Mus musculus: one gene and its partner. The protein of the gene in region 2 interacts with the protein of the main gene of each other region in a pairwise test. Links are inferred from orthologs where the notes say so. Each region holds a gene or a part of one and is shown on either strand. Other genes may lie near its edges.

What was found.
Region 1: the proteins of Rnf135 (region 2) and Ctnnal1 interact in binary tests that used the Homo sapiens proteins (3 or more experiments, as listed by UniProt). The two-hybrid records come from large-scale screens. The link is inferred for Mus musculus from reciprocal best matches to the Homo sapiens genes RNF135 and CTNNAL1.

What each region holds. Positions count from the first base shown.
Region 1 is NC_000070.6:56,833,996-56,837,811, forward strand, and holds part of Ctnnal1 (alpha-catulin), read right to left. Parts: coding exon 3,737-3,816; intron 1,384-3,736; coding exon 1,183-1,383; intron 1-1,182. UniProt on the Homo sapiens protein: May modulate the Rho pathway signaling by providing a scaffold for the Lbc Rho guanine nucleotide exchange factor (ARHGEF1).
Region 2 is NC_000077.6:80,182,393-80,186,935, reverse strand, and holds the start of Rnf135 (E3 ubiquitin-protein ligase RNF135), read right to left. Parts: upstream 3,068-4,543; 5' UTR 3,020-3,067; coding exon 2,681-3,019; intron 1-2,680.

The DNA of each region.
Region 1 (3,816 bases), on a different chromosome or scaffold from region 2:
AACTGTAGGAGAAGTGAGAGGGAACACTTGTAGCACACAGACACAGGAGCCGAGAGCTCTGGGATGTGTGCAGTGTGAGATGTGGAGCTGGTAGTAATAAAATCGCATCTCCAACCTGAGTATTTCATCACAAGAAACTTAGTATTCTGTGTTGAGCTTAGGAGTCATCACTAAAGCAATCTCCTCTTCATACTACAGGGCACATACAGAATCCAAAGGCAAAGCACTGCTCACAACTCTTATCCCATGATAGGGCAGGACTCCCAGATAATGTGTACTGTAGGAAATATCCCCCAAACCTGAGCTTTCTCTCTACTCTTTATATAAGGTGCCAAAACATGCCTTGGACCTCTGTCCCCCAACCCCCTTTCTGCAATCTACTGCTATAAGACTTAGGACAGCTGGGCAGTGGTAGTGCACGCCTTTAATCCCAGCACTTGGGAGGCAGAAGCAGGTGGACTTCTGAGTTTGAGACCAGCCTGGTCTACAAAGTGAGTTCCAGGATAGCCAGGGCTACACAGAGAAACCCTGTCTCAAAAAAAAAAACAAAAACAAAAACAACAACAACAACAACAACAAAGACTTGGGACAAACTTCCTGTGTTGTAACACCTCTGTAGCTTTCACCCACCCTCCTTGAGCAGTCTCCCATATTGAGAGTAATCTACCCAGGCCTCTTAAGTGGCTGCTGGCTGCTGTAGTGCAGGAGTCTGAAAGTGCTAGACTTTTATTCGCCATCGGGGTCTACCCTGATCTTCATTCATCTAGACCTCAATGAGCATTCTAAAGCAAGTCTGTAAATCAGCTGTGCTTGGAGTTAAACAGTGCACAGCAGAATAGCACCAGCAGCAAACGCATGTCTCGAGGACCTCCAAAAGGTTCATCCTCTACTCTCCTCACTAAAGAAGATTTGGGAGAGGAATTTTCCAGAAGTGAGTTTGGCAGAAGAATGGGGAGAAGAGGGAAACTATAGATGGTGGGGATGGCACAGACTGCAGCCTGGCCAAAAGGAGAATGAGCAGCCTGAACACAGCGTGTGCCGTAAGTTTCGCCCACTGGAATGGCATCAAGGGATAAGGCATGCTTGTCATGCACTGACCCAATTCATAGTCCTTCCACCCCTCTCTGATCATTAGGTGGAAATCTACTGCCTAAGATTTCCTCTAAGGAGCACAGCTCTTACGGTTTGCATCCACACGGAAAGGAGCTGCTGCAGCTCTGTCCTCGCCTGAGAAGACAGCTCCAAGATCCGTTCCCTGTGCTCGTGGCTGGTGTAGGCAGAATCAGTGAAGTCCTCCACATGCTCCAAGACGGCCTCCAATGCGGCAGAAAGGTTCTCTTTGGACTCAAAGCAAACATTCTCCCGAAGAGCTTCAATATTCACCTGAGAGCAAAAGGCCACGCATCCATGTGAGTATCCCTAAAATGGGCTACAAGTCCTAACCATGTCCTGAGACGTGCTGGCAAGTCTTAGGAAGACTGCAGCTGCACCCAATGGTCACTATCATCTCCAGGCAGCTGGGAGGGCACTTTGTTCAGGAGTCAGCAGTGGCTATGCAAGGCCTTGTTTCAAGAACTGTTAATATAATGACCTTCCCAGGAGATCATACTAAGGCATAAAAATTGCTAGTGTGTAGAACTGAATACAAACAACAAACCAGCCTCTGCCAATAAAGAAATTGCTCAGGGCAAAATCCCAAGGAGGTTTGCACTCAAATGGGAAAGTGCGCTGAATGTAATAATAAAATCTTTTAAAATGATATGGATGGTAAGTAAGAAACAGGCAATGATGACTGAGATTTTAAATAATTGAAACCTAAAAGTTAATCATGTACAATTCACATCATTTATTATTTTTTGGTTTAGACCCAATGTGTATGTGTGTGTGTGTGTGTGTGTGTGGGTGTGTGTGTGTGCATGTATGTGTGTGTGCATGTATGTGTGTGTGCATGTATGTGTGTGTGTGTGCATGTGTGTGTGTGTGCATGTATGTGTGTGTATATGTTTGTATGTGTATGTTTAAACAGCAACTTAATGAAGTTATACTGACCATTTTAAGGCTATTAAGCTGTTTACATAGACATATCTACTTATTTACAATAAGTGAAGAACAGAAGAAAGTATTAAATTTCTCTCTACAGATTACTTTCTCCATCAAAAAGAAACTGGTGCCCAGCGTGGTGGTGCACGCCTTTAATCCCAGCACTCAGGAGGCAGAGGCAGGCGGATTTCTGAGTTCGAGGCCAGCCTGGTCTACAGAGTGAGTTCCAGGACAGCCAGATCTACACAAAGAAACCCTGTCTCGAAAAACCAAAAAAAAAAAAAAAGAAAGAAAGAAAGAAAGAAAGAAAGAAAGAAAGAAAGAAAGAAAGAAAGAAACTGGTATCAAGGCAGGCATAGTGTTCCATGCCTGTAATGCCAGCAGTTATAAGGCTGAGGCAGGAGGATTGCAGTTTGAGATCAGCCTGAGCAACATTGCTGGGTCCAATGGTGGGAGCACCTCCTCAGGCAATGGTCAGCAAAGAGAACAATTTGCTCCACTGCTTTCTTTCAGTCCCTCTTCTGATCTCAGTCTTCATACAAGGTCAAGGTGCAGTGAGACAGAAAGAAAATGATGACCATCTTAGCCCTGCTTTTTAATGGGTACGAAACCCTTAGCATAATTAGGTAACTTTGCAGGGCCTTGGTTTTCCCATCTTGAAAATAAGGGCACTGTACTAGATAGTGCCGTAGGGCCCTCCTGATGAGAGGTCAGACTTCCTGGCATCAGATCTCAGCTCTGGTACTGAGGCAGCAAGGCCATCTCATCTCTGTCTCTCGGTCTCCCTAACGGCACCCGGAAGAGAATAGCAACGGTTCCTGTGCGGATTCCAGGAGTCCACACTCTGAAAGCACAAAACTGGCACAGAGCGAGCACTCCAAATGTCAGTAGAATTTACTGTAGAGCTATAATGTTGGTGCTATTGCTCAGCTTCGATGTGTGGACCCTATCACCCAGGAAGAGCAGGGTCCCAGAAGAGACCGTATGCTGCTCAGAAGCATCACAGATGGTTCTACACAGAGGAATCTATCTAAACCAAGAGCTGTGCAGGGCTGCTGCTGTCAGCAAAGACCTGTGTTGTCTGTCAACACAATCCTGAGCCCGTATTGCTCACTGTTGGGTTTTCCAGAGTGGCATTACATTAAAGAAATATGTTTGACTTTTTTTTTTTAAATATGTGTATAAGTGATTTGCCTATATGTACATATGTGTACCATGTGCCTGTGGAGGCCAAATACGGAGGCCAAATACGGCATCAGATGGCCTGGAACTGGAGTTTCAGGCAGCTGTGAGCTGCCATGGGGGTGATAGCAAATGCTCTGCAAGAGCAGCCCATGCTCTCAACCACCGAGCCATCCTTCACCCCTTGAGATGCATTGCTTTCTGTGACGTGCTACTCTAATCTCTTTTTAAATTATGTGTATGGTGCAGGAGGGGGAGGGGCACCTGAGTATGGGTACCAGGGAAACTAAGAGTATGTCAGATTCCCTGGGGTTACATGCAATTGTGAGCCAACTGATATAGGTACTAGGAACATAACTTTGACACTCTTTGAAAGCATCCAGCACTCTCAACCACTGAGCCATCCCTCCAGCCCCAAGATGAACCACTCTAAATCATTACACAGAATACTATACATAATGATGCTCCCTTCAATGAGAAAGGAAAACAAGCCAAACCTACTCTTTATTCTTACCTTCAACTCTTTAATCCCAGTAAAAATGCTGACAGATGAGCTGTCGGTCTCTCCGCTGAGTCTGCAGTCAGTCACGATCT
Region 2 (4,543 bases):
AAGAACCCACTAATCAAGTTATAGATCACCTTCCCCATGCTAATGTTCCTTTTGGCTTTGAAACTGAAACTGCAAATTCAGTCAGGGTCTTTCCTTCCCGATGGACTTGGGACCCAGCATGCAGGAATTTTTTCAATAAACACTCTATACTTTTGCATACTACTTGAGTCTGGGGTATCATTCTTCAGCAATTCTAACCCTAACACTACCAGGCCTTGCTTAAACTTAGAATTTTTTTTTTTTGAGACAGGGTTTCTCTATATAGCCCTGGCTGTCCTGGAACTTACTCTGTAGACCAGGCTGACCTCAAACTCAGAAATCTGCCTGCCTCTGCCGCTCAAGTGCTGGGATTAAAGGCGTGTGCCACGACCACCCAGCAAATTTAGAGTCTTATCCTAACACTATATAAAAAAATAAGTGAGCTGGGCGTGGTGGCGCATGCCTTTAATCCCAGCACTTGGGAGGCAGAGGCAGGCGGATTTCTGAATTCGAGGCCAACCTGGTCTACAGAGTTCCAGGACAGCCAGGGTTATATAGAAAAACCTTGTCTCGAAAAAACAAAAACAAACAAAAAAATTTACTTATTTTTATTTTATGTACATTGGTGTTTTGACTACATGTATGTCTATGTAAGGGTGTTGGATCCCCTGGAACAAGAGTTACAGACAGTTGTGAGGTGTCATGTGGGTGATGGGACTTGAACCCAGGTCCTCTGGAAGAGCACTAAGTGCTCTTAACCACTGAGCCATCTCTCCAGCCCCCAAACATACTTTTACATACTACTACAGTTATAAGATAATGTACATTGTATTAGTAGTCATACTAGCCAAAAGATGGGAAGGATTCAAATGTTCATAGCTAGATACATTGATTGGAAAGTGATATATATCTGTGGGACCCCGACTTAGAGCGTTTCTCCCTAGAAGGTAAAGCCCCTGGACGTTCCCCAAGCTTGTTTTCCCTGATCTCTAAAAATACAGCCAGAAAGAAGCTCTTTGTTCTTTATAGCCAGTAAAAAGCCCTTTTGTTTCTGTGCCTTACAGCCAGAGATTCGATAATTGTAGGAAGACATACAAGGACACAGAGATAAAGGAGCTACAGCTCACACACACACACACACACACACACACACACACACACCAGAAAGGAGCTGTAGCCAACTCTCCTCCCAACTCCTCCCAATTCCTCAGCTAGCTGTTAAAAGCCCCCTACTGTTACTGCTCAGGGTCGAACTCTCCTGCCCTGCAGGGCGTTGAGGAGTTCATCCTCAGCTAGCTGATAATAAAACCTCTTGCAGTTTGCATCAGGTGTGGATTTCTCTCAAGTCATTGACGTGCTGGCCAGCTCATCCCAGGACTTGAGGGGAGGCACAGCTTCGGGGGTCTTACATATCCACAGAGATGATAAAACAGCCACACAAAGCAATGATGATCTGATACATGCTGAAACATCAAGCAGCCCTGAAAATATGAAACTGAAAGTAGTTAGACACAAAGGGGCCCATTTACATGAAACATGTATAATGAGAGGTCCCCTAAAAAATAAAATGAAATAAAAACCTTGGAAGTAGAAAAGTTTCAGTTTCCCAGGGAAGCAGATTGAGACAATGGGCTGTTAATAATCAATGGCTCTGGAAGCTCAGAGCTGAGTCATCTCCTGGGATTTCCTCAAGGCCTCCCCAAGTATAGTAAATCTAACATAGCAGCTAATCAGAAACCAACCCATGTAACTTCCCCAGCACCCACTAATGAAGTTTTAGATTACCTAATGTTTGATAAAATTCCTCTAGTTTCCCATGGATGCCTTGTGCCCCTTTGTCTGGGGTCACCATTTTTATAAGTGGCTGGCCCCTGCATGCAGGGTTCTTGCTTTCTTCAAACAAAAAACACTCTTGCCTTTGAATGGGAGTGGTGGTCTCAGTGCGTCGCTTTCTGACCTAATATAACAGGTAAACTCAGACATAAAGCTTATGAGAGATGAGATACAGAGAGGCTGGAGGGACAGGAATCAGGTGTTATTGCTTAGTGAGTGGGTACAGAGGTCTTTTTTAAGTTGATGAAATTACCTTGGCAACAGCGGTGACAGAAGCACAGTATTGGAAATAAGAGAGATGCCATCGAACTGTACACTAAAAAATTGTTCAGATGGCCAGTCGTGGCACCTGTGTTTGATCCCAGCTCTTGAAAAGCAGAAGCAGGCAAAGTTTTGAGTTCAAGTGGCCCACACCTGTAATCCCAGACTTGGAAAGCCGAGGGAGTCACCCCAGGTTCAATGCCATCCTAGTCTAGTCTAGTTAGACCCTGTCTCAATAAATATACAAATAGGCCAATTGAGTTAAGGGGGAAAATGGCAATTTTTGTGGCACATACATTCTACCACACTAAGAATCTCCAGACATCACAGAAGGCTGGGAAAAACTAAAACTATACAAGTGTGCACCACACCTCGGGTGGATGGGACTTGGATTTTTAACTGTTTGTGATGGGATCTTACTATGTAACTCTGGCCCTGTGGGGCAAGCCACTCCAAAACGGGGAATTGCAGGCATGGGGCCACCACATTGGGCTTTTGTATTTCTTTATACAGCTATAAACTTTTTAAGGTTCTCCAGAAAACAGATTAGACTGAGCAAATTTTGTGGCAGAAAAAGAGATCTGGAAGTCCGGTGCAGGCTTCCTACCTGGGGCGCAGAACGCGGCGCGGGGGCGGGTTCAGGCTCCGAGCCAGCCTCGACCTCCCGCGCCGCTTGGAGGTACTTGTCCACCAGGTCTTGCAGCAGCGGGTTCTTGTGCAGCTTGGGCTTTGTCAAGGGACCCTTCCGACATATGGGGCAAGCCCAAGGGCAGCCATCCACGGCCCCACGCTTCGAGACCCACAGGTCATGGAGGCACCGGAGACAGAAGCTGTGGCCACAGGGCAGCGTGGTGGGCTGGTCTAGTAGCCCTTGGCAGATAATGCAGCTCAGGTCGTCCTCGCTCAGCCACACGGGGACTGCATTGCCAGAACAAACGGCCGCCATAATTAGGCGACAGCCAGGAAGCACCCTTAGGTTCCGCCTTGTCCTACTAACTTCCCCGGCAACACTTCGCCTTGTCCATCAGCTCGCCCCGCCCCTCCCATCAGCTCGACCCGCCCAGCTGCTAATTCTCCCCAGCCTCTAAAAGCGCCGGACATTGCTGGCTACCTGCCTGGATTTTGGCCTGGAAAAATCATCTCTCTCTAGTAGTTGGGTCCTGCTCGCCTAGCCACAAACACGCAACCCCAACAACTTAAGCTATGAAGAAGGTCCGCTTCAGGAACTCATTTTAGAATCATAAGAGTATCAAAATTACAGTTATGAAGTAGCAACAAAAATGGGATCTAATGCCCTCTTCTGGTGTGTCCGAAGACAGCTACAGTGTACTCATATGCATTAAATGACATTAAAAGACAGCCTCAGGGGCTGGTGAGATGGTTCAGTGGGTAAGAGCACCCAACTGCTCTTCCGAAGGTCTGAAGTTCAAATCCCAGCAACCACATGGTGGCTCACAACCACCCGTAATGAGATCTGATGCCCTCTTCAGGTGTGTCTGAAGACAGCTACAGTGTACTTACATATAATTAATTAAAAAAAAAAAAAAAAAAAAAAAAGACAGCCTCAGTCTTTATTTGCTCTTCTTAAAAATAAGTAAATCTGGGGGGAGGGTATAGGAGACTTTCGGGATAGCATTTGAAATGTAAATGAAGAAAATACCTAACAAAAAATTGGAAGCCAGGCGTGGTGGAGCACGCCTTTAAGGCAGGCGGATTTCTGAGTTCGAGGCCAGCCTGGTCTACAAAGTGAGTTCCAGGACAGCCAGGGCTATACAGAGAAACCCTGTCTCGAAAAACAAAACAAAACAAAACCAAAAAAAAAAAAAAATGGAAAAAGAAAAAAAAATAAGTAAATCAGGGCTGGAGAGATGGCTCAGCAGTTAAGAGCACTGATTGCTCTTCCAAAGTCCCGAGTTCAATGCCCAGCAACCACAGGGTGGCTCACAACCATCCATAATGGGATCTGATGCCTTCTTCTGGTGTGTCTGAAGATAGCTGCAGTTTACTTACATATAATAAATAAATAAATCTTTAAAAAAAAAATAACCAACTACTCTTCCAGAGGTCCTGAATTCAGTACTCAGCAACCACATGGTGGCTCACAACCATCTGTAATGGGATCTGGTATGTCTGAAGACAGCTACAGTGTACTCATATACATAAAATAAATGAACAAATCTTTAAAAAATAATTTTCTTGCTACTTCACAACTGTAATTTTGCAACTGTTATGAATAGTCATGTGAATATAGGAGTTTGCCAAAGGTGTTATGACCCACTCATTGAGAATCACTGCTCTAGCAGGTACCTCAGCAGTCAGGTCCAAAGAACTTTAGAAGCTAGAGAGGATCCACCTCCCCAGGGAGCTGCACTCTGGAGAGACACATCCAGAATTTGTATTGCAGCTTCTCTGACCGGGGAATTAAAAAAAAATCAGTAAATTCAGAGGACCTCATCAGGCATGAAGGCAC